2 linked regions of the Diceros bicornis minor genome follow. The protein of the gene in region 1 interacts with the protein of each later gene in a biochemical or structural test. Links are inferred from orthologs where the notes say so. Each region holds a gene or a part of one and is shown on either strand. Other genes may lie near its edges. The genes, in order: DYRK1B and HNF1A.

Evidence for each region.
Region 2: of the proteins of DYRK1B (region 1) and HNF1A, one has a biochemical effect on the other in vitro, tested with the Homo sapiens proteins (2 studies listed by IntAct, with this or other methods). The link is inferred for Diceros bicornis minor from reciprocal best matches to the Homo sapiens genes DYRK1B and HNF1A.

The regions. Positions count from the first base shown.
Region 1 is NC_080773.1:13,599,439-13,614,327, forward strand, and holds the start of DYRK1B (dual specificity tyrosine-phosphorylation-regulated kinase 1B), read right to left. Parts: upstream 7,026-14,889; 5' UTR 6,867-7,025; coding exon 6,788-6,866; intron 5,511-6,787; coding exon 5,347-5,510; intron 4,330-5,346; coding exon 4,210-4,329; intron 4,113-4,209; coding exon 3,924-4,112; intron 3,552-3,923; coding exon 3,404-3,551; intron 2,534-3,403; coding exon 2,247-2,533; intron 1,549-2,246; coding exon 1,402-1,548; intron 1,323-1,401; coding exon 1,182-1,322; intron 853-1,181; coding exon 537-852; intron 148-536; coding exon 41-147; intron 1-40. Other genes in the region: FBL (rRNA 2'-O-methyltransferase fibrillarin), read right to left, coding at 8,067-8,091, 8,219-8,364, 9,210-9,322, 10,359-10,491, 11,423-11,593, 12,651-12,745, 12,842-12,943, 13,046-13,204.
Region 2 is NC_080774.1:17,390,419-17,405,361, reverse strand, and holds the start of HNF1A (hepatocyte nuclear factor 1-alpha), read right to left. Parts: upstream 7,211-14,943; 5' UTR 7,173-7,210; coding exon 6,835-7,172; intron 1-6,834. UniProt on the Homo sapiens protein: Transcriptional activator that regulates the tissue specific expression of multiple genes, especially in pancreatic islet cells and in liver. Binds to the inverted palindrome 5'-GTTAATNATTAAC-3'.

The sequences.
Region 1 (14,889 bases):
GCCCCACCACCCACCTCCAAAGTCCCCAAGGCCCCAGTACCTGGGGGCTGTTCATCTCACAGTCAGTGATGGGGGGCCCAGGGACCCCACAATATCGGTTACTGTAGCGGTAGGTCCGGTTGTCACTGGAGGAGCCGCTGGAGCCTCCTGAAGTGCCAGGGGAGGAGAGAAGAGGCCTTAGGTGAGGAGAGACGGTGGCTGGGTTTTCGGGTAGCTGAGTCTGGTCCATGGCCCAGGCCCAGATTTGGGCTCTGTAACTAGTGCTCACTTGAAGGATTGGGCTCAATTTTGTGATTAGGGGTCAGAGTTCAGTTCTGGGTGTCAAGAGTCAGAACCAGTTTTAGGGGTCTGAGCCCAAGCTCAGTTTCAGAGACCAGGTCAGGGCCAATCCAAGCTGTCCTGCCCCACACATTTTGGAGTTCAGATCCTGCAGTTTCAAAGCCCTAGGTGAAGGCCCAGTGGCAGGGTCCCCCAGATCAGGCCCAACCAGAGCTGCCCTCACCCCTGTTCTATGCCACCTGGCACTGGGCACCCACCAGAGCTGGAGATGGAGCTGGCGGTGCTGGAGGAGGGGCAGGTGTCGAGGGGCGCGGGCGAGGTGGAGGCACTGCTGCCTGCCGGGCCCGTGTTGGTGGCCTCATCAGCCGTGCGGCGGAAGAAGCCGTGCTGCAGAGCCCCCAGCGGGCTGATGCGGGCGGCGGGCTCATACTCCAGCATGCGTAGCACCAGGTCCTGGAAGCGGAGGTAGTCGGCGGGGCTGTGGCCCGGCTCCCCCGCCCGCCGGCCCCCGGGCCCGCCCGTCTGCACGCCCAGCACCTCCTGCAGCCGCCGTGTCCCAGGGCCCTGGTAATCCTGGCAGGGAGGGGGTGGGGGGGGGCAAGAGAGTGGCCGTCAGTGGGCGGGAGGGGCAGGGAGACACACACGGGGAAACAGAGGCACAGGAGAGAAAGTGGAAAGAGAAAAGCTAAGAAGAGTTGTGGGGTGGGTAGGAGAGACGGGGTGGGCTGGGGAGGAAGGAAAGGACAGACAAGGAAGAGAGGGAGGAAGCGACAGACACAAGGGAAAGGAAGCGGGGGGAGAGGGACAGACACGGGAGAGGAAGCGGGGGAAGAGGGAGCCCCAAGTGTGAGAGAGTGAGGGGCCCCCGGGGTGGGAGGAGCGGCGTGGGGCCGGGGCCGCACCTTCCTGAGTTCCTTTGTCCTGCGTAGAGTCCAGCCACCCCCAGGCAGCCGCTCAAAGTACTTGCGAGCCTTGGGTGCCTGGTCCAACATGGGGGCTGGGGGGATGCCCAGCACCTCCACGATCCGGTTCATCTGGTCCACCTGCGAGTGGGCGGGCCGTCAGGGTTAGCAGACCGGCCAGGCCTCCACCACCCCGCATGCCCCGGCCTCGGGAGCACACCTCATTGGAGCCGCTGAAGAGGGGCTCTCCAGTGTGCATCTCCACCAGGATGCAGCCCAGGGACCACATGTCAATGGCCAGGTCGTAGGGCGTGCCCAGGAGCACCTCGGGCGACCGGTAGAAGCGGCTCTGGATGTACTGGTAGATCTGGGGGAGGAGAAAGGGCAACAGTCAGAGGTCCCAGCGTCCCCTACTGCTGCCACTGACACCCCCAAGGCTAGGACAAGCCTCCTGCCCCCAAAACCAGGGACGGGGGCTCCAAACCCTGATGTTATCAGCACTGACTTTCCAGGAGCCACCACCACCACCTTATTCATCGGCCTCAGGAGTCTCTGCTGGCCTGGTCTGACCCTGATCTCCATCCCCAGGCTTGACCCTGGGCCCCTCTTGGTCACCGGTCAGAGGCTGGCAGTCTGCAAGCCCAGGCCCTTCTCGCCCTCTCGATCCGGACCTATTTCAAGCCACTACCATCACCATCAAATGTCAGCTTACGCGAAGCTGCAACGCTGAAGCGCTCCCCGCCCTCCAGCCCCAGCTTTAAGAGCGCGGGGCAAACCAAACTCAGCAAAGTGCCACCCAAGGCTCACAGCCCACCCAGCTGCACCCTGCCGCCTCAGGCTTCACGCTTCCCTTTCCTTTTGGGCAGGATTCCCTGTGGCCCTCTCCTTTACCGCCTTCACCCACTGGGCCCACTCTCCGTAACTGCCGCCACCCCAACCCAAGCACTATCCTTCAGCATCAGCCACTTCGGGCTGCAGGACAATCCCGTCCCAGCCGTGCCCGCCCCTCGGGCCCCGCCCCAGCCCCGCCCACACCGCTAGCCACGCCCCCGGGAGGGGCCGCACCCGCTGGCCCAGCTGGCAGGAGCTGCCGAAGTCCACGATCTTGATGGCGCTGCGTTTGGGGTTGCAGAGCAGGATGTTCTCGGGCTTGAGGTCGCAGTGGATGATGCTGAGCTCGGGCGTGGCCAGGAAGAGCAACGCCGTGCAGAGCTGCTGCGCCAGCTTCCGCGTCAGGTTCAGCGAGACGCCGCGGAAGTGCGTGTTGCGCAGGAGGTCGTACAGGTTGTAGGAGAGCAGCTCGAACACCAGGCACAGGTGGTTCCGGAACATGAAGTGCCGCTTCAGGTGCACTGCGGGGAAGAGGGCAAGGAAAGGGGAATGGCCCAGGAGACGACACTGACGCTCAGAGAGCGCCGGCGGCGGCCTGCGGTGCGCAGTAATAGAGAGAGGCTGGAAGCAGGTCTGTGTCTGCTTCTGGAGCACTGGCCCCACGGTGGCGTGCTAGTCGAGATGTTTCTAGATGGTCTATAACTCGATTCCCACCAAGAAAAGGACTGATTGATATTCTTGATTAAGAAAAGTTAATTCTTTTCAAGTCTCTGTCAAACTTTCTGATTAAACCAGAGAAAGTTTCCATTCGGTGCTGACAGGGCTCTCACACCATCCTACACTTTCTCATTTAATTTTATCACATGGTTTTAGTCTCAGTTCTGTTTATTTTGTGGTTTTTGTGTTTATACTCATTTTCCATTTACTGTAAGGATGTATATTCAAAGGAACACAATCTTTAGATCCATTTGCTTTTTCTACGAGGAATCAGTGAAGGAAAGAGGGAAAAGACTGGCCCAGGCGTCAAGGGGAAAGGCTCTGGGGTCCACTGCCTGGTCCAACTCTAGCCATACTGAGCACAAACTCTGCCACCTTATGCCATGACAACACCCAAATGGCTCCCCTTCTTCATCTCCATGCCCCTTCCTCCGCGGGGCTGTGGGGTGGCTTCAACAAATTAATGTTCGTAAAGTGCTTACACCAGAGCCTGACCCTTAGTGAGCACCCACGAAACTCTGACCAGCACTACCATGTGCGTAGGGCAGACATCACGAAAGTGGCGGGAGAGTCACTGATGTCAGGGATTGCACACCAAACCCTGCCCTGAAGACTCCAGCCCCCTGTCCCGGGGGTGACCCACCCCTAAGCGGTCCCACTGCCCCAGGCCTCACCGATGTAATACTTCATCTCCGTGTCGTGTTGGTTCATCAGCTCCAGCAGCCGCAGCTCGATCTGGGCCTGGTTCAGAAAGGCCTTTTTGTTCTTGATGATTTTGATGGCCACCAGCTCCTGGGTCTGATGATCATAGGCTTTCACCACCTGCCGGGGTGGGGCATGTCACAAAGTGAGGGGAGGGGAGGGGAGGGGGGCGGGACAGAGCCAGGCGCCACTCTGCTGCCTCCAGCCAAGGAGACCCACCAGTGTCAATAATACTAATGATAATTCAAAATTGAGTGCTCACCAGCTGTCAGGCACTGGACATGAAATAATACAACCTTATGTGCGGAGTCCTGTTATCTGCACTGTTTTACAGAAAAGGAAACTAAGGCACAGGGACACCTAGTGACTGGGCTAGGGTGAGTGGCCCAGCACAGAACTTAAAGCCACTGACCCACTGGCTGTGGGCGTCAATGCCAGTGGGTGCCCGTGCCCCCTAGTCCCTGGATCAGGGTGGGGTGGGGCCTCCCGCACCTGGCCGAAGGAGCCTTTGCCAATGAGGGAGTCAATCTCATAGCGCTCCAGCCAGCGCTCGCCACTGCGCACGATGTAGTCATGGTTGTCGTCGTCATAACCGTGGTTCAGGACCTTCTTCTCCTTCTTGGTGCTCGAGTCCTGAGGTGGTGCCTGCTGGGCCCGCCGCTTCTTCTTCGCATAGTATACCTGCCCAGCAGGGGGGCCGAGATAAGGACTGGTGAGTGACCGTGCCAGCAGCCAGGACCCCGCAGCACCCAGCCCGGGCCCCCCACCCCCGGCCCACCTCATTGATGTGCTTGTAGGTCTTGATGAGGTCCACGGAGAGCTTGCGCAGCGGGGCCGAGGTCGCGTCCCGGAAGGCCAGGGGCAGCCTCCGCGGCAGCAGCCGCACATCAGGCAATACCTGGGGGGCGGGGTGGGGGTGGACACTGAGGACAGGCCTTTGCCTCCCACCTCAAGGGGGAGAACTACATGGGTGGCTGGCTCATCATTAGCACGCACATGTTTACTTGGTCACTGTCTCACAACCCCACAGAATGTCAACTCCCCAGGGGCAGGGACGTCGTCTTGTTCTTGCCGCAGCTCTAGAGCCTGGCGCGGGGCCTGGCACGCAGGGGGTGTCCATGAGAGACTCGCTGAGTGACTGAAGGGTGGACTCTTCACCCCTGACCTTTCATCCCACACCTCACTCCTTTCTGAACCTCAGTGGGAGAGATCAGATAGGAAACCTGGGCTCTGCCCCTCCCAGTCCTTTGGCCTGAGACTGGCCACTCTGGGTATCCCATCTTGAGAGGCCCCCATCTTGTGGGCCTTCCCAACCCTCACCCTCACCTCCTCTGTGCATCTTTGCCAGTTTTTTCACCCCAAGGGTCTTGGATCTGCATCCAGCCCCCTGGACCTCCCACTCCATCCCACTTCAGGCTCTACACATCAGAACCTTAACAGTCTCTGCCCTTGAAGGTCTTGACCCTGTACCCTCAAGCTCTGCTGACTCCAAGACCCCGCAGGCCTAGTCTTCCTCCACTTTCACGCTCTCCAGATCTTTCACTCTGGACTTTTTTTGCTTGGTGAACATTTATTGAGTGTCTACTAAGTGCCGGGCACTGTTCTTGGCACTTGACAGGCATTTCATTAGCTCATTTCATCCTCACAACAATCCTGTGAGGGAGGTATCGTTACTGGTCCCATTTTACAGTAAACTGAAGCATGGAGAACCGAAGTCGTTTAACCACCATGTGAGGATTTGAACCCAGGCTCTCCAAACCCTGACTCTGCCAGCAACTCCTCTATTACCTCCCACTCTCCTAGGGCCCGTCATGTCCCCAGGAGACTGTCCTGGGCAACCACATTATCTTTTGGCCCCCTTCTATTCCCATCCTCCCCCTACCCCAGGCAGGTGAGGAGCCAGCTGACCGCGTACCTGCGTGTGCTCCTGGGGCCCCGGGAAGCCAGAGAAGGGACCATGGCCCGGTGGGATGGCCATGGTGGGCTCAGAGGGCCGCAAGGGAGTGAGGCCTGGAGCGGGAGCCCGGCCGGGGGGCGCCTTCTCGCATCCTGCACCTCGGCTGCCACCGCCGCTGAGACCTGAGAGCAGGCGGGAGGCAGGGGAACAACAGAGAACAAGGGGATGTGTGGGACAGTGCCAGGCGGGAAAGAGGTGGACATCAGAGAGAAGACAGGGCACAGAGGGAGGAGAAAAAGGGTGCAAGAGAGCAACAGGTGGCAATGAAGAGAGGGGACAGAGAGAAGTGGCGGGGGGGGAGGGGCACAGCGGAGTCCCTCAACAAATGATTACCGGATAAATGAAGTAAGTGGCATAAAGAGGGGGACATGTGAAGGGAATGATTGGGAGCCACGCAGGGATATGGGTCATGACAGGAAAGGACAGAAAGATACCAACAATTAGGGGAAGGAAGAGAGGAAAAAGATAGAAACCACAGACAGTATAGGGAGTAGGGCTCACTCTTTTCTTCCCATTTCTACTCCTAGCCCTTCCCAGGGCCCCTCACACAAGATGCTGCCCTCCTGCAGTCCTCCCTGAACCTCAGGATCTCATTTCCTGTCACAGCAAGGTCCCCCCACTCCAAGATCTACCCTTCCCTGTAGGTACCCCAATCCAGAGAACTCTAGGATCCTCCCCAAACCACATGAGAGTCCTCTGGGCCCCCTCCAAACCACAGCAGAGTCCTCTGCAGGCTCCTAAAATCACAGCAGGGTCCTTAGGGATCTCCTGACCACACCAAGGTTATCTGAGAACCCTTATACATTGGAGTCCCACCCCTATGGCACTCTCATCCACCAGGGCACACCATTCCCAGGGGACCCTCCCCATATCATGCCAAGACCTCTTCCCTATATCATTTCCTCCCACATCAGGGACCACCCCTTCAAGTAGTTTCCCCATACCATATTCCAGTTCCCCAAACAGGGCTCTTCCCCACATTACTCCAAGGTCCCCCTCCCAATCAAAACCTACTCCTCCAGATGGGAGCAAAGGGGAGGCGTCTCTTCCCACGCTGGGTTTAGAGTACTCGGCCTTCTCAACCCTACACTGGACCCTACTCCCCTCCCCCTCCCCCAACATTCCTACCAGGGCCCTTTCTCCAGTCCCTCCTCTCTTCGCCAGGGTCAATCCACAACTGTGCCCATTCCTAGAAGGCCCCCATAGCCAAATTCCCCAAATATCACATAGAGGTCTCCCCTCCCAGAGTATCTGCCACTTCTCCCATGTCAATCCTCCTCCTATGCCAAGCCTTGCCACTCCACGACCCCTCCTCTCTCTCGGAGCTCCCCCACCAAAACAACCTCTTCTCCGGGGCCCTCCCACACCAGGACCATCTCTCCCAGCCCCCACCCCCTACCCGGGTCAGGGCTGGCGCGGGGCCCACGGGGGGCTGGGGCGCGGTGGGGCCCCCAGTGGGGTGGGCGAGCGGCCAGCATGGCGGCGGTGGCGGCGGTGAGGAGACGGCCGCCTGTCCCGGCCCGGCCGGCCCGGCAAGCCCCGCGGCGGGGAGGGCAAGCGGGACAGGCGGCCCGGTGGGTGACAACAGCAGCCGCCGCCGCCGCCGGGGGCGGGGAGAGGAGGGGACGAGGGTCAGCCCGGGGCACGCGGGGGAAGGAGAAAGCAGGTGGACGGGGGAGGGGCGGGTTAACCCTCGCCCCGCCGGCCCCGCCCCTGGGGACCCCGGCGTCCCGCCCCCCACCCTAGAGGCCCGCCCCGGCCCACGGAGCCCCAGCGGGCGGGGCCGGGCTGAGTTTGGCAGTCCGCACCTGCCATGGCAACAACCGTGCCATTGGTCGCTGCTGCCAAGAGCTCAGCCAATCACAGCCCAGGGCAGCTGTTGCTAGGCGACGACGAAGCGGCCGGCGGTGCCGAGCCCAAACAAAGGGCGGGAGCGGGGCCCCGCTACCCCCTCCCGGCCTCCTTGCTAAGACTGCTGCCTCGGGCTCGGCCCCTTCCAGGAATCCGACTATGAATAGCCGGGCACGGCCTGCACCTGCCCGCCACCCCCCTCCTCTCCTCCCTCGGCCTCGTGCTGAGTCTCGCAGCGACGCGGGCAGGGCGGGTCCCGTACTGCCCCCCCTCACCGCGAGCGCGTGCCGCCCCGCCCGCAGCCGCGTCGTTACCTGAGGGCGCGGGCAAGGGGACTCAAACTGCTCGGGAAGCCCGAGCCCAGACCTGCCCACGGGCTGAAGGTATCCGGCGGACGCGGCGAGCCAGGGCCCCGATTACCCAGTAATGCAACCAGCAAAATGGCGACCACAACAAACCGGCCCCCCCAGCCTCGGGCTCCGCCCCCAGCCCCCCCATCTGTCCTTCTCACGTGACCCAGGGCAACACACCGCGCCTGCGCTCAGCGGCGCTTACCGCTGTACATGCGCAGTGAGCTACCAACCCCGCCCAAGCGCCGACAGCCGGGTTACGGCTGCGCAGGAAGCCGCTAGGAAAGGAGCATGCGCTGTGTGACCGGAGGCGCACTCCACCCCACCACTCCGCAAGTTGACCAAGGGCGCATGCGCCTTGTCTTGAGAGGCCGTCAAGCCATCAGCAGCAGACAGGAGCGACGGATGAGTCTTTTAATAGAAAACACACGTATTAACAGTAGCAACACAATCTCGCAATCCCGATGGCGCTGGGCTTCAGTTCTTCACCTTGGGGGGTGGCCTGCGAGAGGAAGGAGACGAGGATATTCAGAGCCTGTCACCACTTTGGGGCACTCCAGCACTACCTGTGCGGCTCCCCCAGCGGGGACAGAGATGTCTGTCCTGGTGGATCCCGGGCCCCTGCTCACCTGTACACACCCACGACCACGGCGTGGTCTCTCTCGTACGGCTCCAGGGTCAGCTGCTCCTGGGGCTTCATGTTCTCCTGCTGCATCTTCTTCACCTCAGAGGCAAACACGGCCTCGGCCGAGGCGGTGGAGTCGATGCAGTTGGCCTGCAGAGGAGAGAGGGTCTGAAGTCTGTGGCAAGGCTGTTTTCCCTGTTCTGTGCTTTTTAAACCAGATGTATTTCTTTTTATTGGCAACTCAGTGAAACTCAGGTTTTGGAAATGTAGGGAAAGACTTCCTTAGAGAAGTTTTCAATTTGGTTTGGACTTGGAAATAGGAAGCCTTCAACAGAGCCCTATGGATCTACAAGCCAGTGTTTAAATTTTACACCGAGGAGTTTTTTCGTCTACTTCCTCTTCTTTAACAATAGTAACAATGCAGCTGAGAATACAAAAACAAATGTCACAAAAGGCCAACAAATGGTGAGAATCTGGTTGAAGGATACACAGGCGACTTCTCTGTATTTCAAAATAAAACCTTTTTTAAAATGCACCTAGCATGGACCTAGAATTTATTTTATACCAGGGTCTGTTCTAAACACTTCATATATATTGATAAATTGAATCCTTACATCAACACTAAAAGAGATAGGACTAATATTTCTATTTTACCAGTGAAGAAACAGGCACACAGGTTAAGTATCTTACTCAAAGTCACTTAATTCAAGCTGGAATTCAAACTCAGATGGTCAGACCCAGCGATCATTCACGTGACCACTACATTCTATTGCATTTTTAAATCCAAAGATTTTTAGTTTTGAAGATGTTCTTCATCATGTGCTATTTGACTTGGGGCAGAGGTGGCTTGTAGGGAGCTGGGTAGGGATAGAGGCTGGGAACAGACTGACTGGATTAAGAGGGGTGGAGACCCCCTTGTAGTGACTGGCTGCTTGCCAGTTAGAGAGCGAGAAAGATACTAGCACCCCATCTTAGACCCCTCCAAGCCCCCGCACCTTAATGGAAATCACAAAGTGTCCTCCATTACGCAGGAAGGTGTGGGCATTCAGGGCTACAATCCGGGTCTGGTCTGGCTGGGCCACGTCGGCAAAGATCACATCCACCATTGCTAGGGAGAAAGAAGCGGCAGTTAAGAGCCAGATCCACTGGATCTTCCCAGCTCCTCTCGTGGGGCCTGCGCCCCATCACCAGCAGGTTTCTGGCAAAGTCTCCTGCCTCCAGTCTCACTTACCCCCACTGATCCCCCTCCCTCCGCGGTGCCTCCAAGATGGGTCCAAAACCCACAGTCACACCATTCATTCATTCCTCTTGTAAATCATGGTTGCCACCTACTCTGTGGCCAGCCCCGGGCCGGGCGTGGGGGACACAGAGACGAGTCAGACCCGGACCCTGCCCTCGAGACGCTCCCGGGTCTGGGGGGGGAGACAGACATGTCATCAAAAAGGCAAGTAAAGGTGAGCACTTACAGGCAAGAGTGTCTGCAGGTTTGTCAAATGAAAACAAGTAGTAGGACAAAGGATATGGTATGAGTGCATGGAAAAAAAATGCACAGAAAGAAAAACCAGCAGAATACAACATAACATTTTTAAGGCAGTGTGATTTAAAAAAATAATAACTTAAAAAAAGGAAAAGATGATGTAATGAAAACTGACTTTTTTAAAACTGGGAAAAGCAGACATCAAATTGTTATCAGTTACCTTTGGGGGTAGTTTATAAGGCCTTCCATTTTTACATTATGCTTTTGAATTTCTTAAAAAACAAAGTCATTAATATTCACAGTGGGCCCCTCCGGGCCTCAGTTTGTGCTTCCTGGGTTATGCTCTCTCCAGGTGATGAGGAGGACCTCTGAAGAAGGCTTTTCTACATAAGCCAGTGTAAAAAGCACCAGTACCAGGAAGTACGGGGGGCTAGGGAGAGGGGCAGGAGATTGGAGGGAAGGAGGCTAGCCGTCAGACATCTGAGACCCTGAACTGGGACCACCACCTCCACAAACTCAGCTGGCTCCCCTACCCTTTGCACCGCTGCAGATGCAAGAGGCCTGCTCATCCACTCAGCTCCATCTGATTCAGGGCTCTGGCGGCCTCTTCCAGGAAACCTGGAGTGGCCTGTCCTACCCTACCTGGGCCAACCCCTGGACCCCTCACCGATGAGCATGCGGTATTTGTGCGGGTGCCGAGCGTCTTCAATGACAGGAATAATGTTGGTCCTCTTCTTGGCCAAGTTAATGAGGTCACGGCCGGAGCGGTGGGAGAACTCAACTGCATAGACCAGACCGTCCTAAAATACATCAAATAATAACATCAATGATACCAGTTCTCATGTATCGAGCACCTACTTTGGGCCCATTCACTGCACGCAGCATCTCTCCAAATCTCCAAATCAAAGTCCTACCATTTAACAACTATTGTTATGTCCATTTTTCAGATGAATACACCAAGGTCCAGAGATGTGAAGTCACTGGCCAAGGGTTATTCAATTCCACTTTGCCTGATCGGAGAGCCCAGGCCCCAATACAGGCTTAATACCAGGAAGCTAGGGCACAGAGATGAAATCTAACAGCTAAGAATATCTGCAGTGGGCCAGGCACTGCTTTAAGCACTTTACGGGAGTTAACTCCTTTAGCTTCACAATAACCCTATTTTCCAGAGGGGTAAACTGAGGCCCAAAGAGGTTAAGTAACTTGCTGAGAACCACTTCACTATTAAATGCCTGCCCCAGAGCCTGGGGTTTTTCACCACTAAATTACACAGCCTATAGGTATGTAGATGAGCTGGGGGTCATGAAGTTGAGACCCACGGGGGCCCTCTAAATAGGGAACCGGTATAGCCACACAGAAATGCAGGTCCAGAAACTGAGACCTCCTGTTCTTTCAGGAGAAACCAGGAGACCAGATTTTAGGGGCATACATTTTTAAAGAGGGCAACCAAAACAAAGAGTCTGGTATCTGTACTCTCAGCTCTGGGCCCCTCTAACATAGTCACCTGGATGCCCAAAGCCCTTCCCTCCGGGCCAAGAACTCAGGAGTGATGCTGAATGAGGCTGTGGAGACCATGTGGTTCAAGCTGCTCCTTTTACTCACAGGCCCTCTGAGAGGGAAGGGCCTGGCTCCAAGCCACAGAGTGCAGGAAGCAGCCTGGGCCTTTCCCTGCCTCCTACGGCACCACCAGCCCATACTTGGCCCCCACCTCCGGCCCCTCCGTCCACTCACCGGGCCTACGATGTCAGAGACGTGGGAGACGGTGGTGCCCGAGGCAGCCCCGAGGTAGAGCACCTTGGCCCCTGGCTTGATGTGGATCTGGTCTACACCGCCCAGGATCGCTGCTGCCAGCTTGGAGCGGAAGGGGTTCCAGGCGCGGTACTCAATTTTGTCATCTCCCTCCTGGGCCGGGAGAGATGGGGATGAAAGTCAGTGCCAGGCTCTTTTGCAAGACCCCACCGCCCTTAACCCTCGGGCCCTCAAAACGGACTGGGCGCTCAATCAGAGAACAAGAAATGAACGTGGGTATACAGCAGTGACCAGGACAGATGCAGTGTCTGCCCTCTCATGGAGGGGACTGTCAGGGAGAAGGCATAGCGACAAGACAGTCAACACAGAGACAGATCATACCAGTAACGGCAAGACCCACGCATTCATTCACCAAGCAGCCACTGTGCCAGCACATGAGTGTGCCAGACCCTATGCCAGGCACTGGGGACACACAGGGAACGAGGCAAAGACCTGCCCTCAAGGAGTAAGTACATACTGAACTGCCTGACACAGACAGCACAGCAGCCAGTGACAGGTGCCAGGGGAAAGAGCAAGTGGGCAAGAAGCGTGAAGTGTGGGGAGCAGGGCGAGGGCCAGGTGAAAATGCGCAAGGGAAGAGCCGAGGAGACACCTGGCGTGGAGGTGAAGGAGGTGAGGGGCCATTCGTTATCTGGGGCAGCGCACTGCAGGCAGCAGAAAGGCCCCAAGGCACGAGCGTGCCTGGCCCTAAAGAAATGATGCAGGATGACAGGGCGGGGGGTGGGCGGTGAGGGCTGCTCTCCACAGACAGGGTGGTGCCAGGTGGCCTTGGGAGAAAGACAAGGTGATACGTGACAGAGATGCTGGTGATGAAAGGGAACCAGTCACGCAGAGCTGGGAGAAGAGTATTCCAGGCAGAGGGAACAGCAGGGGGGGTCAGTGTGGCTAGAAGACACTCGGCCAGGGGGCCAGTGGGAGGAGACGAGGCCAGTGGGGAGGGGAGCTAGAAGGCGCAGGGTTTTCCAGGCCGCACTGAGGACTTGGGACTTTAATCTGAAGGCATTGGGGAGGGGAGCACATGATATGACTTATGTATTAAGATGGTCCTCTGGCTGTCGAGTGTGGGACACATGGTGGGGACAGGGAGACCAGACTGCCAGTCACACCATTGGCTGGGGCCCTGTGGCTTGGACAGGGGCCCAGGTCTCACCGAAATCGAGACTCTCTTCTCTCCGTAAACTGATTCTCCAGGGACCAGATTCTTGGTGACGAGAGCATCTTCCTTTCCTCGACAAATGAAGACCCCTGAGTGAGACGACCAACGCAGGGGTGAAGACTCCGGGCTGCACCTCACCCTACCCCACCCCTACCCTCAGCGGGTTCCCTACCTTCCTCACTCACCCTCATGCCGGTGAGGTTCCACCATCACATTCTTTCCCGACTGGTTTCCTCTTTTTCCTCCCCGACCGCGACCCCGGTTGCCACCAGAATGGAACCCTCCACCTACAAGGCAGAGATGCAGTGAGAGAGGGAGACCACACATCTCTTCCCTCCCTGTTCCCCAAGCCCAAGCCTCCTCCATCACATCTCCCCAACCTCACTCACCACCTCTTCCTCCACCTCCTCCTCCTCCTCCTCTGCCACGGCCCCTAAAGCCTCCACCTCGACCTCGGCCTCCGCCAAAGCCTCCTCGGCCTCCGCCGCGACCGCCACGGTCACCAAAGCCCCCTCGGCCACCGAAGCCACCCCCACGGGGGCTGAAACCTGTGGCGAAAACAGAACCAGGAATCAGGACAATGAACTCAAGTAGTTACTCCTACACCTCTACTCAGGAAACTGGAGAAACGTCCACGTTGCACCAGGAGACATGTCCATCAGCAGAGTGGACAAATAATATGGGGAAAATTCACAATCAACAATGAAAAGGATCAATAGTTACACACGACAGATAAATCTCAGAATCATAACATTCAGTGAAAAGGCAAGTGCAAGAAAACCACATCCACATAATATCCTTTTCATAAAGTTCGGCAACAACTAAAATTCAACGATGCTATGCTGGATTGATTGATATATGCGGTAACCCATGCCACCCACCCCCCAAAAAGAGGCAAGGGAATGATAACTGCGAAACTCATGACCTTGGGTGGCGGGAGGGAGAAATTATGGGGTTAGGATGGGGAAGAGTATATAGGTCGACGTAGGTTACTGTCAATATCCTGCTTTCTTTGGTTGGATAGCAGAGTCGCAGAAGTCATTCTATTTTCCATATTAATTAGTCTGAAAAAGAGCGAACACTGCATGTGTGCATGCACCGTGGCAGAAGGGTCCTCCAGACTCTGGAAACATCTTCGTGCCCTCCCACTCCTGACCTCATGCCTGGAAGAAAAGCGCCCACTCCCAAACAGGGGGGAGGAGCTTGGAATGATGTCTTTCCTTCTAACTGATCTCTCGGCTTCCAAGGCTGCAGAAGTCTCTCACAGCTCAGGGAAAAAGAAGAAAAAAACCTGAATTGTCTTTCATGGATGGGCAACAGTTCTTAAGCAGTTTAGGGCTTGTCAACAAGATGTAAAGTTTAAGAAAAAGAAAAAGATTTGGAGAGACTTTATTTTCATCACTTCAGGAGAAAGCAAACATTGTTCACTTCACGGAGCACAAAACAATGTTGGGAGCAGACAGAATTCTGGTGCTAACAGATTGAATATGTGACTTTTCTGTGTGGGTTTCAAAAGCTCTGCAGTACCATTCAGAAAAACTACGAGTTATAAGACAATAGCGTGAAAATGAGTGATGGTTTAAAATGATCTCACCTGATGTAAACTAGTCACTAGTACACTTGCTCAAGTTTTTGTAAAGGTGCATTGTATTCACACTCTGAAAGCTTCATGCATCTGAATGGCGTTAAAGATGAAAAGGTGGAATTTCTAATCGCTATTCCTAATTTGATTGTTAAAAATGAACAGTTTCAAACTCCTCACGTAACCAAGAGCTGTCTGCCTTTATCGTCTCCCCCTCTACAGCCTACTGTCCACGGAGCAGCTAGTGACGGAGTTGTTTAAAACAGCAAACAGCAAATCAGATCTCAGCATCCCCTGTCCGAATCCCTTCCATGGTTTTCCATCACATTCAAAATGAAATCAAAATTCCTTTCCCTGGCTTCCAAAACCCTATATCAGTGGGTCTCCCCTTTGGCTAATCCCTGGAACCTAGAGATTCTGATTGAACTGTCTGGGCTAGGGGCCGGGGCCTGGGCTTCTTAAAGTTCCCCCGGGGATTCTAATGTGTGGCCCAAACTGTGAACTCCATCACAAGGCCCTGGCTTCTGCTGACTTCTGACTGCGCTCTCTCTATCCTGGGCCCCACGCTCTTCCTCTCCAAGAACAAACTCGCTCTCCGGCATCTAAAGCTTTAACATCTGCTGTCCCCCTGCCTGGCTCCTGTGGACACGT
Region 2 (14,943 bases), on another chromosome or scaffold:
ATGGATGGATGGTAGGGTGGATGGATAGGTGGGTGGGTGGGTGCATGGATGATGGATGGATGGATGGATGGATGGATGATGGAGGGATGGATGGATAAATAGGATGGTAGATGGTAGATGATGGATGAGTAGATGGATGGTTGGATGGATGGATGGTAGGGTGAATGGATGAGGGAGACCTACTGGAAAAAAAGTTGAGTCTGAAAACAAGGAGAGAAACATGATTCTCCCACTTTACCGGGGCCACTGAGGCTAAGAGTGTTTGCATTGTATCTCTTGCCCAAGGTCACATACCCAGCCCAGCAGAGCCCCATCCACCTGAGGGATTCAGTGCTAAGCCAGCCTATCAGGCAAAAATCACTGAGGGTCAAAACGCCTCCTGAAAATCCACACTGAACCCTGGGCAGTGGCCCCACCAGCTTCCCCACAGCACTGGGGCAGGCGGCTGGTTTTTCAACCAGGTGAAGTCCCAGGTGAAGGGCTTAGGGGTTGGCATTCAGAGGCTTTGTTGTACGAAATACGTGAGTGTTTGAGCCCCAGAATCCCACTCTGGGCTGAAAGTCTCTCACTAGAGAGACTCAGGGACCTGGGTACATCCACATTCATATCCTGTCCTCTGCTCGCTGTGGGGTCAGATTGCCTGTACTATATAAACTCTTCTCTCTGTCCCTCTCCTGCTCTGTCTCAACCCTGTATTCCCCATCCTCTCCTGTTTATAGTACAAATGTGTGTCAGATAAATGCAGCTTGATACAACAGCGCTGAAACAGGCAGAACTGGGATTTGAACCCACGTCTGCACAATTCCAGACCCTGTGTTCTCACCCCCTCGACTCAGCAATTTGCTTCTAGAATTTGAGCCTTCCGATATTGGCATGTGGGACAAGTGGCACTTGGAGGAGGTGATTCGTGCCATGTTGCTTGCCCCAGCAAAAGACTGGAAACAACCTAAGTGTCCAGCGAAAGGACGCTGATAACTAAATTGCGGTGGCTCCGTACGATGCAGCCGTGAAAACCCACTGAGAAGCTCCGCGTGCGCCCAGACAGAACCGAGTTTGTCTGGGGGTTTGCTGTGCTGCTATTTGCATAAAATTTAAAGTGGGTTAAAAGAAGATTTCTACGTCTTTGCTTGTGTTCCCATGAAATGTCAGAAGGACAGAAGGAATTGGCGACGCTGCCTCAAGAGGGGAATTAGGTGCTGGGGACAAGGTGAGAGAGACAGTGATCTCTGTTAGTTTTCTACACTTTTTAAATGATGTAATATAGCATAATATTATATAATACACTACATATGCATATGTAATATTTAAAACTGAATTGTAAAACACTAAAAGCAAATAACCCCCCAGTGCTCTGAAGCTCCCCGCACTGCCTTCCCCCGGCCTTTCTCTGCCTCCCCAGAGAACCAGCCTTGCGTTGCCCCCGACAGTGCTCTTCTAGGACACAAGGGCATGCACGGAGCTTTCACCAGCTTCGGCCCTCTGACTTCCTCCTTTTTTATCAGCAGTTCCCTTACAAGCAGGGAGGGACAGAGGGTGGGGACACATACATTTATATGGTCAGCAGTCAGTACAGCCAAGTCCCACTGGTGCAACAGTGTGGGCCGTGAGGATGAATGTTTCCTGAGTGTTTACGTGAGCCAGGCACTGTGCTACAGGCTGGTCACATAAATCTTACAATAACCCTAGGAAGGAGGTACTACCTGTATGCCCATTTCACAGGGGAGAAAACTGAGGCTCAGAAAGGTGAGCCCTGCTCCAAGGTGACCTGGCTGGGACTCAAGAATCTTTCACTTTGCCCAGGCCCCCCAGACCTTTCCCCGAGCTCCTCTCTCTTCTGCTTTCAAGGGCTCCCAGGATCCTCTCTCCTCTCCCCCTCCCCCGCTCCCTGGGTGCCAGTCAGAGCGAGGAGGGAAGGGCAGTACAAAGTCCAGCCTTGTGCTTCGTGGCAAACATGTTTATCTGATCCTGGAGCCGGGCCGCCCGATGGCCGCCCCCCTCCCTTGACTGCAGCCGTCACCCTCGGGAGCAATCCTCCCTACCTTCCATCTCTCTTCTCCAGAGACAATGAGCTCAGTCTGCCTCTCAGCAGGGCCTCTCCTGGCTCAGACTAAAGATTCACCATCTGTCACCGTCCCTCTGAGTCCGGGTGTCTCTCTGTGTCTGTCTATCTGCCGTGGTTTCTCTTTCTCTGCCTCTGTGTGTGTGCATGTGTGTGTGTGTGTGTGTGTGTCTCTTGTTCGCTCTGTCTCTTTCTCCCACTCGCCCCTCACCACACACACACACACACTCAGTCTCCAAGCACCAGATTCTTTTCAAGACAGTTTCCCCAACTCAGAACTCAGAGGCCACGTCTCCAGGTATCTCCTGCTTCCACTCTAGTGGGTTTGAGAGTCAAACCGACCTAGGTTCAAATCCCACCACTGCGACCTCACACCTGATGTGTGCAAACCCCACAACTTCCCTGTAACACGGCGGTAAACCCACGCCTGCCTTGCAGTGCTATTGGGAGAATGAATGAGCTTCAAATAGGGGTGAAAATAGCCCAGGGCCTGGCACCCAGTAACTGCTCAGTGAGTGGAACAATATTGTCATCACCATCATCATCACCATCATCATCACCACCATCATCATCACCACCACCCCATCATCATCACCACCCCATCATCATCACCATCATCATCATCATCACCACCCCATCATCATCACCACCATCATCACCACCACCATCATCACCACCACCATCATCACCACCATCATCATCACCATCACCATCACCATCACCATCACCATCACATCATCACCATCACCATCATCATCACCATCATCATCATCACCATCATCATCACCACCGCCACCATCACCATCACCACCACCATCATCACCATCACCATCATCATCACCATCACCATCATCATCACCATCACCATCATCACCACCACCACCACCATCATCACCATCACCATCACCATCATCATCACCATCATCATCATCACCACCACCACCATCACCATCACCACCACCATCATCACCATCACCACCATCATCACCATCATCATCACCATCACCATCATCACCATCATCCTCATCATCATCCACGATGTGGTCCTGGGACCCCCAGCCCCACAGCAGAGGGAAGGGGGCCCAGGAGAGGGGAAAATCTGCCTACATCCCCCTCCTCCCGCCTCCTACCCGTTCTGGAGTCAAATCAGAGGTGCAGGTTTGAGCCTTTTGCTCACTGGCCCCTGGGGTTTCAGGGGGTCCATGGGCGTGGAGCTGGGAGACCAGCCTCCAGGGCCTCATCTGGAGGGGGAGCCGAGTTCTTAGTGTGGGGCCTTCCCATCTCCATTGGAACCCCAGCTCGCCGCTCCCTATCCAGGTGGCCCTGGGAAATTGCTTAACCTCCCCGTGCCTCAGTTTCCTCAACTGTGAGGTGGGGCTAGCAATATTTCAGAGGTTGTCAGGAGGAGAAAACTAGTTGAATGCACTTGCAGGCCCTTCGTCAGCTCTAGAGCCCTGCGCAGAAGTGAGTTGATGATGAAATCAACAGCACGAAGGACTGGGGAGGCTAACCGGGGAGATAAACGTATCAAGGACGGGCATGCAATCTCAAGGGCACCGTGCAGACTGTGGGATCAGGACGACCCGCATCCAAGTCCTGGTCTTATTACTTTGTAAGAGGCACCTTGGGCGAGTCGCTTTGTCCCTCCTAGCCTTAGTCTGCTCCTCTGTAAAACGGGACCACTGATAATAGCAACCGTTTATCACACTTACGTGCTAATACTGTGGGTAAGTGTTAATTATCACCTCCACCTTGCAGAGGACACAGGGGCTCAGAAAAGTGAAATCCTAGCCCGAGCTAGAATAGGGCAGAGCTGGGATCCGACCCAGGCAGGCTGGCCTCAGTCAGGGATGTCAGATTGTCCCATCTTGGCCACTGTCCTCCTGGGTCTCAGTGCCTGAAGGGGAGGATCAGAGAACCTCAGGGTTGAGGTTTGAGCTGCTGAGGGACAGGGAGGCCCTAGGAGGACTCCCAGGAAGGAGCCCGGGGTACAGGTTCCTTCCACCATAGCAGCAGATGTCCCCAGGGCCTCAGAGAATCCTAGTCATTCATTCATTCATGCTGTGTGTCAGCCACTGGGCTGGGTATCGGGGTAGGAGAGGTGAACAAGGGCCCTGCTCTTGAAGAACTTCTATTTTCATAGCAGGAGATAGAAAATGAACAGATAAACAAATCAGATCATCCTACATAATGATAAGGGACAGGAGAAAGTCAATGAAAGTAGTGGACGAGAGAGTGACGGGGGTGGGCCTACCTTTAGATGGGGTAGTTGGGGAAGGCCTCCCTGAGGAGGTGACATTTGAGCAAAAGGAGGAGAAGAAATCAGCCATGGGAAGATCTGGAAAGAGGGTTCCAGGCAGAAGGAACAGCACATGCAAAGGCCCTGAGGTGGGAATCAGCAAAGTCAGTGTAATTGATGGAAAGAGAGTGAGGCAGGGAGGTCCCTCAGAACGAGGTCAGGGAACCAGGGCAGGGAATTTGAATTTTATTCACTGTCCAGGTAGGGAAACTGAGGCAGAAGGTGGCGAAGAAACTTGCCTAAGGTCACAGGGTGAACTAAGGGTGGCAATCTAAGGGAAGAGCTCAGATTCCTGCTGTGGCCTCAAGCACGGGGCACCCTGGGGAGGCCTGGAATCCAGACCCACCCCTGCCTCTTCCCAGACACTTTCTGCAGAGAAATGGCTTCCACTGGCAGTCCTGCCTCTGCATCATCCCTTCCAGCCTTAACCTTCCTCAGTGCCCAGGCCTTCATCGAGGGTCCTCCACCCCTCTCCTTCTGGTGCCCCGAGGCTAGAGGCCCCACTTTTCTCCCTCGAGGCGTTCTCAGATCCCTTTTGTTACCTGAACAATAAGTAACCCAGGTAGTTAGTTATAAACTCCGCAGGAACAAGGAGCTGGTTGATAATTTATAGCAACATCTCAAATTTAAATGGAAAGTAAATAGCATGCTGTTAGCATTAAAGAAAACCCAATCGGGGCGGGCGGGAAGCACTCCAGCCTCCTCTCAGCTTGGGGCGCCTCAGTCTCTCCCGAGCCCCTTCTCCCAGCTGGGTGCGAGCCCCTCTCCCCTCCCGCTGCTCTGCTCAGCTCTGCCACTCCAGGCCTCTCTCTCCATCTCGCCCGACATCCTCTCTCTTCCTCCCTGCCTCCCCTCTCTCCCTCAGGTTCCAGGTCTCTGCTGGTCCCCAGGGAGCACTCTGACCTCTGCTCCCCCCTCAAGCGCTGTGGATCCAGCCTCCCCCCTCACCCACCATCCCACCACAGGGGCTGCTGATCAAGAGGCCCCACCCCGCCAGGTAAGAAAGGCCCTTGGACCCTCTGCCTCCGCTCCCACTCAAGAGCCCCCAATCCCGGCTAGGGCCCGGAGCCAGTCTGGCCCAGCCCCACCCTGTCCCGGTGGCCCTCGTCCCAGGTCTGGCGATGCCTGACTCTTTGCCCCTCCCCTGCAGCCCAGCGGGGCCCTTTGCCCTCCTCTTCCTGCCAAGTCAGGGGGCCCTGGCTGCTCCCCTGCCCGCTGCCCGGGCCCTCACGAGGCCTGGCAGACCCTGAGGGCTCCCTGAGGCGGGATCCAGCCCTCCCCCACCCCAAGCTGGGATCAGGACCTTGGACAGAAAAGACGTGGTCCCCTGGAGAGGCCTCTTCCTCAGACAGCTCCCCCAGCCACCCCCGGCCGGTCCCTGGCCCCCAGTCATGGCAACTGAGAGCACCAAGCAGAGTGGGTGTGAAGTCCCAGCTGGGTGGCCTTAGTCAAGCTGCTTCCCCTCTCCGGGCCTCAGTTTCCTCGTCTGCGAAGCAGAGTTATCCATAGCTTCCTCCCAGGGTTCACCTCAACATTATCCAAAATGATACATGTGAAACTTCAGCACAGCGTCCCGCTGTTAGGATGGAGGTTAGGGAGCCTTTGGGGAGGGGCGGTCCCTGAGCCCCCAGGCCCCCCTCCCTCCACCCCCACACTCCCCATCCCCCACCCCCACTGAGTGGGAGGTTGGTTGGCCCAGGGCTCCCCAGGCCACCATCCCTCCAAGTTAATGATCACAGGCCTTATCAGAGCCTTTTGCTGTTTATAAATTTATAAAACAAAAGAGAAATAATAAAGCTTGCGGGTAATTAGTAACCAGGTTAGCTCTGCTGAGGAGAGGGGAAGCATCTGGCTCAGACCCACCCAGTTCTCTGGGAGATGGGGAGCCAGCCAATGGATGGGGGTACAGAACGGGGAGGACTCTAATGGCGCCTGAGGCTGTGCAGGAAAGAGGAGCAGCCCCCACCCCAAGGCTCCATCTCCCTCAGGTAAGAAAGATCTGGGCTTTCCTGGCTGAATGCTTGAGTCGCCGGGTGGTTGGGGAGTCCCCAAAACCCCAGCCTCAGCCCCTCCTCCCCAGCGGTGCATCCTGTCGCTTAGCAGGGCAGTTAGGGTTTCGGGAGTGGAAATGGCCGTGGTAGCTAAAAATTCCACCCCCCACCCCGGTTCTCCAGGCACTTGAATGTGGATTCTCCCTCTTTTCCCCGTCTCGGAGCTCCCCTGGGGCATGTCCCCACTTCCCAGGCACTGGGCTGAAAGCCGCGGCTCGTGGGGACTCAGACTCTGCAGAGGCCAGGTCGGGCCTGGAGGCTCCAACCTCAAGCAAGGACCCCCCACCCACGCAAGCTCTCCTGGGCCCTGTCCCCTTCCTGACAACTAGGCTCGAGGCCACACTCGTGGAACTCTGGCCTCAGAAGGCCCGGCCAGGAGCAGCGGGTGGGCCCCTGGGGAGCCGGGCACAGGGAAGGGGCCTTACTGCAGCAGGGTCTCCACCACGGCTTTCTGGTGGGCCGCCTCCTCGGGGCTGAGGTTCTCCAGCTCTTTGAGGATGGGCGGCGTGAAGTCTTCCCCATCGTCGTCCGTCTCGTCCTCGGAGCCCCTCGTTTCCCCCAGCCCATTGGGCAGCTCGGCCAGCTCCCCTCGGCCGCCGCCGGCGCCGCCGCCACAGGACTCCCCCTTGTCCAGGGGGCCATCCCCAGCCAGAAGGTAGGGCCCCGGCTCCCCCAAGGCCTGGATCAGCGCCTCCTTGCTCAGGCCCGACTCGAGCAGGGCCGCCAGGAGCTCCGTCTGCAGCTGGCTCAGCTTAGAAACCATGGCTCCTCTGCCGCTGGACCACGCGGCCCGGGGCCACCGAGCTGGCCGCCTCCCCCGCGTGGGCTGTCTCCTTGCCCGCCGGCCAGCAGGCAGGCACAGACCAGGCTCCTTGCACCCACGACCCCCCCAAACCCCACTAGCCAAGCCCTGTGGGCACCCCCAACCCCCAACCCTGGCCCCAGCGGCCAGTGAATCAGGGCCCCTGCCCGCTCTGTTTACATTGGAGCTGGGGAAATTCTCCAAGGTTCATATTCATCCGTGTGCTTAGCGAAGGGCCTGGACTTTGGACTTCAGCCCTGCAAAGTGCGGGCCTCATGGCAGCGCAGAGGGCCGGGAGCCGCGGCCTGCAGTGGGAGTGGGCAGAGCGAGGGTGGGGGAGGCGGCGGTGGGGGCCCAGGGCAGCTGAGGTGGAAGGTGCTGGGAGCCCAGGAGGCCCTGGGGTGAGCAGCATCAGATCTCATCCCCAGGGACCTTGTAGGGGGTCAGGCTGAGGCAGGAGAGCAGAAACAGCACGTTTCCCCTGGGAACAGAAGCAGCAAGTGTTCCAGGCAGGTGGGCCAGCTCTCCTCAAGGGCAAGGCTAGGTCACATCTATGTTGCCACCTCCCATCAGGCCCAACGCCAGGCCTCCCCGTAGGAAAGACTGTCGACTGGCACAAGTCTACTGTGTGCCAGGGATGTGCTGGTCTATAACGTGCGTCATGACCTCACTGTGTCCCCCTCCCAGCTGTGAGCAGGTATGGGGACTATACCCATTTCACAGAAGAGGAAACCGAGGCTCTGAGATGGTAAGCAACTTGCCCAAAGTCACCCAGCCAGCAAGGGGCAAGACACAGGGTGGGAACAGGGTAGGCCAGTCAGACACGAATTTTAAGGGGGCGCCCAAAAACTCAGTATTCAAGAAAAATAATATTTTTATCCAACATATTAAAAATCAAAATGAATGCAAAATCCAAAAGAATTAAAAACATATGCCCACTGGGGCCGGCCCCATGGCTTAGCGGTTAAATGCGTGCACTCCGCTGCTGGCGGCCCAGGTTCGGATCCCGGGCGTGCACCGACGCACCGCTTCTCCGGCCATGCTGAGGCGGCGTCCCACATACAGCAACTAGAAGGATGTGCAACTATGACATACAACTGTCTACTGGGGCCTTGGGGAGAAAAAAGGGAAAAAAAAGGAGGAGAATTGGCAATAGATGTTAGCTCAGGGCCAGTCTTCCTCAGCAAAAAGAGGAGGATTGGCATGGATGTTAGCTCAGGGCTGGTCTTCCTCAGCAAAAAGAGGAGGATTGGCATGGATGTTAGCTCAGGGCTGATCTTCTTCACACACAAAAAAAAAAAACCACATGCCCACATAGAAATTCTCACGTGAATGTTCACAGCAGCATTATTCACAATAGCCAAAAAGTAGAAACAACGTAAATATCCATGAACAGATGAATGGATAAATAAAATGTGGTCTATCCATGCAGTGGTATATTATTCGGCCATAAAAAGGAATGCAGTGCTGATCCGTGCTACAATGTGGATGAACCTGGAAGACCTTATGCTAAGGGAAATAAGCCAGACACAAAAGGTCACATATTGTGAGTCCATTTCTATGAAATGTCCAGAAAGGCAAATCCATAGAGACAGAAAGTAGGTTAGTGGTTGTCAGGGGTGTCTTTGGGGACAGTGAAAATGTCCCAAAATTGATTAGGTGGTGTTACAAAACTGTAAAAACCACGGAAATTGTGAACTTTTTAAAAGGCTGAATTTTATGATATATGAATCAGTAAAAAATATTTTTTTAATTAATGCAAAAAACCTGGGATGAACAAAATATCAACATTTTAAATAAAGCCAGGCTCCAGTGCTCACTCCCCTCCCCCCAATCCCAGCCCTGGGTGAGCACTGGTCCCTCACGCCCCCACCCAGCTCTTCCCTCCTCCAGACAGAGCCTTGATAAAATTCCTGCTGTGTGTCCCCCGGGGTGGCCCTAAGCCCCCAAAACAAAGGATGCACACCATTTCCTGGAGCAGGCGGGGTGGTGCTGAGGGGCCGCCCCCCAGGCTGGGGCATGTCCAGAGGGTCCGCATCTTTCAGGGGTCTGCAGAACCAGGGTCAGGCTTGGCGACAGAGGAAGGGATAAGATGCTATTGGCCAGAAAACCCTCCCGCAGCCAGGCGAGGCCAGCAGGGAGGAAGGGGGCTGGTTGACAATGATAATTGAGCTCTCTGTCAGCTCAAATCCCCTTCTCAGTCTGTCCGCTCCCACATGGGGTGCTCCAGTCCCCCCAACACTGAATTACGTCTTCATTTCTGCATTCACCTTCTGACGTGCTGCACAACTGTGCTGCCCAGCACAGCAGCCACCAGCCACATGTGGCTACTGAGCACTCGAGATGTGGCTAATGCCTTCTGGTTGAAATGATAATATTTTGGATATATCGGGTGAATTTTAAAATTTTTAATTAAAAATTAGAAAAATTAATTTCACCTGTTTCTTTTTACTTTCGTAATGGTACTACTGGAAAATTTTAAATTACATAACATGGCTCACATTATATTTCAGTTGGGCAGCACTGCTCTAGAATTTACTTACGTATTAGGTTTGTTATTTATGGTCCATCTCCCTCTGCTAGAACGTAAGCCTGCTGACGGCAGGGTTTTGTCTGTCTCGTTCACTGCTGTATTCCCAGCGTCTAGAATATTGCCTCGTACGTACCTAGTAGGTGCTCAATAAATATTTGTGGAATGAATGAATGAATAGCTAAATTTCATTGTGCACCGACCTTGTATACTTAGCTCTGCACTAAGCTTTGTCGTATATTAAACTCTCAGAACGACTCTGTGAAGTAGGCACTGTTATTATTCCCATTCTGCAGCAGAGGAAACAGAGGCTCAGAGGGGTTCAATGGCTTGCTCAGGGGCGTCCAGAGCCGGGCAGTCTGACTGTGCAGGACAATGCTGACAGTTGCCCTTTGGGAAAGGGAGACCCCACCTTTCTTCCAGTGTTTTCTTTTTCCTCCAGTGTGAGTCGCTTTGGGGTAAGGGGGCTCACTGCTGGGGGCAGGATTCTCAAGTCCAGGCTGAAGGGCAGGGGCGATGCTGTGTGCTGTCCCTTCGTGGTTTCATGGTGCTCCTGCTTGCCGTACCCTGCCAGGAGGCTGTGTGACGTTTCACCTAGAAGAGGGAACCAGAAAGAGGGAGAAGGGTGGGGCGGGATCCTTTGCACAACTTTGAACTCATGAACTGCTAGGTCCTCCTGCAGCCAAGTGGCCCAGCCGGTGCCTCCAGGACTGAAGGTGGGTTTGGTTGGGAGGTGGACCAGCAGTGGGTGGGGGGAGAGCCTTCAGGAGGTCTAAGGAGAGAGGCCCCCAGGGCCCAACTTCAGCTCCCAGGACACACAGGGGCTATTGTCCTGGGCCCTGAGTGGGGCCCCCTCTGATGAAGGAGAAGGGACATCAGCAACCTGACCCTGCTGCCCCGCAGACATGGAGGCAGACAGACAGAAAGGGCTGCCCTTCCCCACAGTCAGGGGACAAATCTGAACTGACTCCAGGTTGGGAGAGCAGTTTGCCTTCCTGAGAATCACTGTCCCCACACACCACCCCCACCCCTGCTGGGTAGCCTTTCCTGACTCATCTATGAAATAGAAGTATGGATCTGCCAGGGTTGTAAAGAGCATAACGTAGAAATTCCAAACCCCCTCAGTTCAAGGCGCCTCTAGTGTCTCGGTGATGTTTTCACGGCACCTCCTGCCTCTATAAAAAAAACTAACAGTTAACTTTTATAAGTAGTTAGGTTAAAACAACTAATAAGTATTCATGTCCTCACAACTTAGTAGCCGCTTGAAAAATGCACATCAATTGAAAGAAAAAAATAATATTTTAGTTCCTTCTTAATGCTAAGTATGTGCTTATGGGTGGGTGGGCTTGTGGGGCTCTGCACAACTGCTCGACCCTTGGAATTAGACTGGACGTTACCACCCTCATTTCCTGCTCCACAATGATTTTTGCAAGATATTTGCTTGTTATCAGAACAACTGCCATAAACCCAGCTTTACAAAGCTGTGACGTCATCTAAAGGAAGGAAGCTCCTCAAACATTGAAACCGCGAACTACCTTGAGCTGGTAGTTTGCAAGGTGTCCGGCAGATGGCGCTGTGTTCCTTTCAAAAATCCTCTAAAATAGTCCGCAGTGCCCAGGGGCACCTCGGCGCACAGTTTGGGAACTGCGGCCCCAGGGGACGGGCTTGGACACAGCAGATATACCGTCAGTGGTAGCTCTGAGCGTCATCGCCACTCTCTCCTGCCGGGCGAGCAGCTGTTTGCAAGGCCAAAGTTGAGGCAAGGCGTAAGGCTTCTCCTTGGCCTTGGGAGGCAACACTGAGCCCTGTCAGTCAGTCTCAGACTCTTGGAATTCGATTACCACCACCCCCCCCACACCTCGGGGCCCACCTGTATTCAAACTTGAACTATTCCTCCTCCGAGTCCCACTGCCCTTTAAATCTTTATTGAACAGTCGCTGCTATATGCGATTTTCATCCATTTAACATCTCAATAGCCTCACGGGGTAGGTACTTTCAGCCCATACTACAGATGAGGAAACTGAGGCTCTAAGAGCATATGGATCCTGCCTAGCTAGTGCACGGCAGAGCTAGGATTTGAACCCAGCTCTCTCTGATGCCAGAATCCAAGCCCTTGACTGCTATTCTATGTCCTTCTTTCTTTGAGGCAGTTCACTCTCACTAAATACTTGTTACTATTACTTTTTGTTGTTGTTCTGGGTAAGTGTGTCTCTGCCCGTTGGCCTTGTCACCTCCATGCTGGTTTTGCAGATGAAGAAACTAAGGAGCTGAGGGAATAAAACACGGTGGTTAAGAGCACAGACTCAAGTGCCTGGGTTTGAGCTTGGCTCTGCCACTTGCCAGCTGTGTGACTTTGGGCAACTTGCTTAACCTCTCTGTGCCTCAGATTCCTCTTCTCTAATATGGGGATGGAAATACTATCTGCCTCATGGGTTGTAAGGAGGATTAATGAGGTAATACACATAAAGCACTGTGCCTAGCACATTGTAAGCGCTCCCCACTACTGAATGATTATCATTACGTGATTATTAACATGACTGCCCCACTCACCTTGTCCAGGCTGAGTTCTCTTCTTTGGCAAAAGTTCTCCACATAAGAGTCCCTGCCACCCATTCCATTTGACTCTTAAGCCCTGACTCTGGCATTCAAGGCCATCAATACCGCAACTCTGCTCTCTAACCAGCCACACTATTTCCATCTCCAGAGCACACCTGGAATCTCTCACATCCAGGCCTCTGCACAAGCTGTTTTCTCTACCTGGAGACCTCCACATGTTAGCCTGTCCTCAAGATCCTCTACAGGTCTCCTTCTGACCCCTTCTCTTGCCCACAGCAACATGAGCCTTCACTAGCCAGCCTTCCCCAACTCACTGGCGCAGGGCCAGCAGCACCAGAAAGCCCTGGATCGAGGGTGAGACATACAGATTCCTGGCTCCACGCTCAAGGATTTAATTTAATGGGTCTGGAGCGAGGCCCAAAGTGTGCAAGCTCCGTGCATCAAAGGGCAGAGAACTGAATATTGTTCTCTGTAAAACAACGATAAATGTGTTTCTATATGCATATTTGAGAAAGATGTGGAAGGACATGCTCCAAGCTGTCAACATCAGTTACCTTTGGCAGGGAGCTATGCACAAACAAAAATAATAGCAGGGGAGGGGGAAAGAAAGGAAGAAAAGAAGCCTCAAAAAAAAGAAAAAAAAAATGTAACTATGGGAGGCCATAGATGTTAACTAAACTTATTGTGGTAACCATTTCACAATATATACATGTATCAAATCAGTAGGCTGTACACCATAAACTAATACGTAAATATTACATGTCAATTATATCTCAATAAAACTGGAAAAAAATTAGACTGTGATGATGGTTGCACAACCCCGGTAATATACAACCATTGAACTGACACTTTAAATTTCAGGTGATTTGTACTTTCTTTCTCACTCTTTTCTGTATTATTTGAATAGTTTAACATGAATATTTATTTTCACAGGTATAAAATAGAAAAAAAAATAAAGTTATTTTTATTTGGGTGGTAGCTCCTCCCCGCCGCCCCAAATGAGCCAGGCTCCCCAGGCTATGTGGCGCCCACGTTCTGTTCCCCATCTCAGGTGTCTGTCCCTGGATCCTCACCTGGCTGTGGGCCACAGATGGCAAGAACCTCGGTCGTCTCTTCCTGGGCTCCCGGGCCTCAGAAATGCTGGTACCTACACGCCTGGGGCTCCATACACTGCGCATGCCCAGGAAATACTGCGGGAGGGAGCTCAATCCGCTCTTTCTGAACGCGTTTCTCGTGATTTCCTGAAGGTATCTTGTCAATCCAACTAGAGCGTAAACTCTGTGACAGCAAGGAGAACCTTGACCTTCCCCGTGCCACCGCCCAGCTCTGATCCGGGCCCGTTGTAACCCTCAAGGGTAGAACAAAGACTTGAAGCAGGAAAACACCTGTCGAGGGACGGCGCCCGCGCCCGGGGACGCCGCCGTCTGTTTTACTGTCATCCTCTTCATCGGCAGCAGACGGCGCTCGAAGTCCACGCAGCAAAAGTCTCCAAACCTGCCTTATCCTAAGAATTCCCAGTCACCGAGGTAAAAAAAAATCAGATTCCAAGGCCCCGCCCCTTTGTTCCTGAAGCAAACTTTCTAGGAGAAATGCCAGACAATCTCTTCTTTGAACAAACACCTCAGGCAGTTTTCTCAGGATCTAGCAAGTTGCGGAAACTGTCTGACACAGCCTCTTGGGTGTCTCAGACGTGGCTTCCCCCCCTCGGGTGTTTACAAGACAAATAACCTGGTTCCAGCCAGCAAAAGCCCAGAGAGCCCTACTGTAACACAAGGACGTGAATCAAAGTGAGCCAACACGTACATTAGCTGGGACTTCAAACCCCAGGGCGAGTTGAGAGCTCTGCCCACAGAGCAAACTGTTACAAGCTCTGCCATGACCCCGCTGTGTGATTCTGAACAAGTCCCATAACCACTCTGAACCCTAGTTTCCTCCTCTGTAAAGTAGGGATAATTGGGCCTGACAGGGTTGTTGTGAGAATTGGAGGAGATAAACAGCAGTTGTGTCTATACAGCAAGCAGGCATTTGATTAAATGTTAGTTTTCATCCTAATAAAAAAAATAGCTAATGTTTTTGAGACCTAATATGTGCCAAGCCCTGTACTGAGTGCTTTACATTTACTTGCTCCTTGAACTCTCACAACAGTTCTATGAGGTAGGTTCTATTATTCTCCCCATTTCACAGATGAGGAAACTGAGGCACAGAGAAGTTAAGCAACTTGCCCAAGGTCTCCCAGCTAGGAAATGGCAGATTTGGGATTTGAACCCAGGAAGCTGGGCTCCAAGCCCCAGGATGAAACAGCTCCAGGGGAACAAAACTACATCTTTTAGGAATTATGAAAATTGCTCCTTGGCTTCTTTGGGGAAAAGTAGACCACGCAGCTGAGCGAGTCCAAAAAGTAGCCAAGAGCCAAATGCAGGCGCAGGCTGCCAGCCGGGATTCCTAGCCCTGCCAGCTTTCCCGGATTGGCTTATACGCCTGAAGTCGTGGGACCAGGAAGTGCCAATGCCTGGGTCTTGCTGAAACCAGTTCTCATTGGCAGACCTCCCACTGATGGACAAGTGTCAATTAGTCGCAGCCTCAACATTGGAACATCAGCAATTCCAGAAAGCCGCCACTTCTGGACTCCGCCCACTGAAAAGGAGG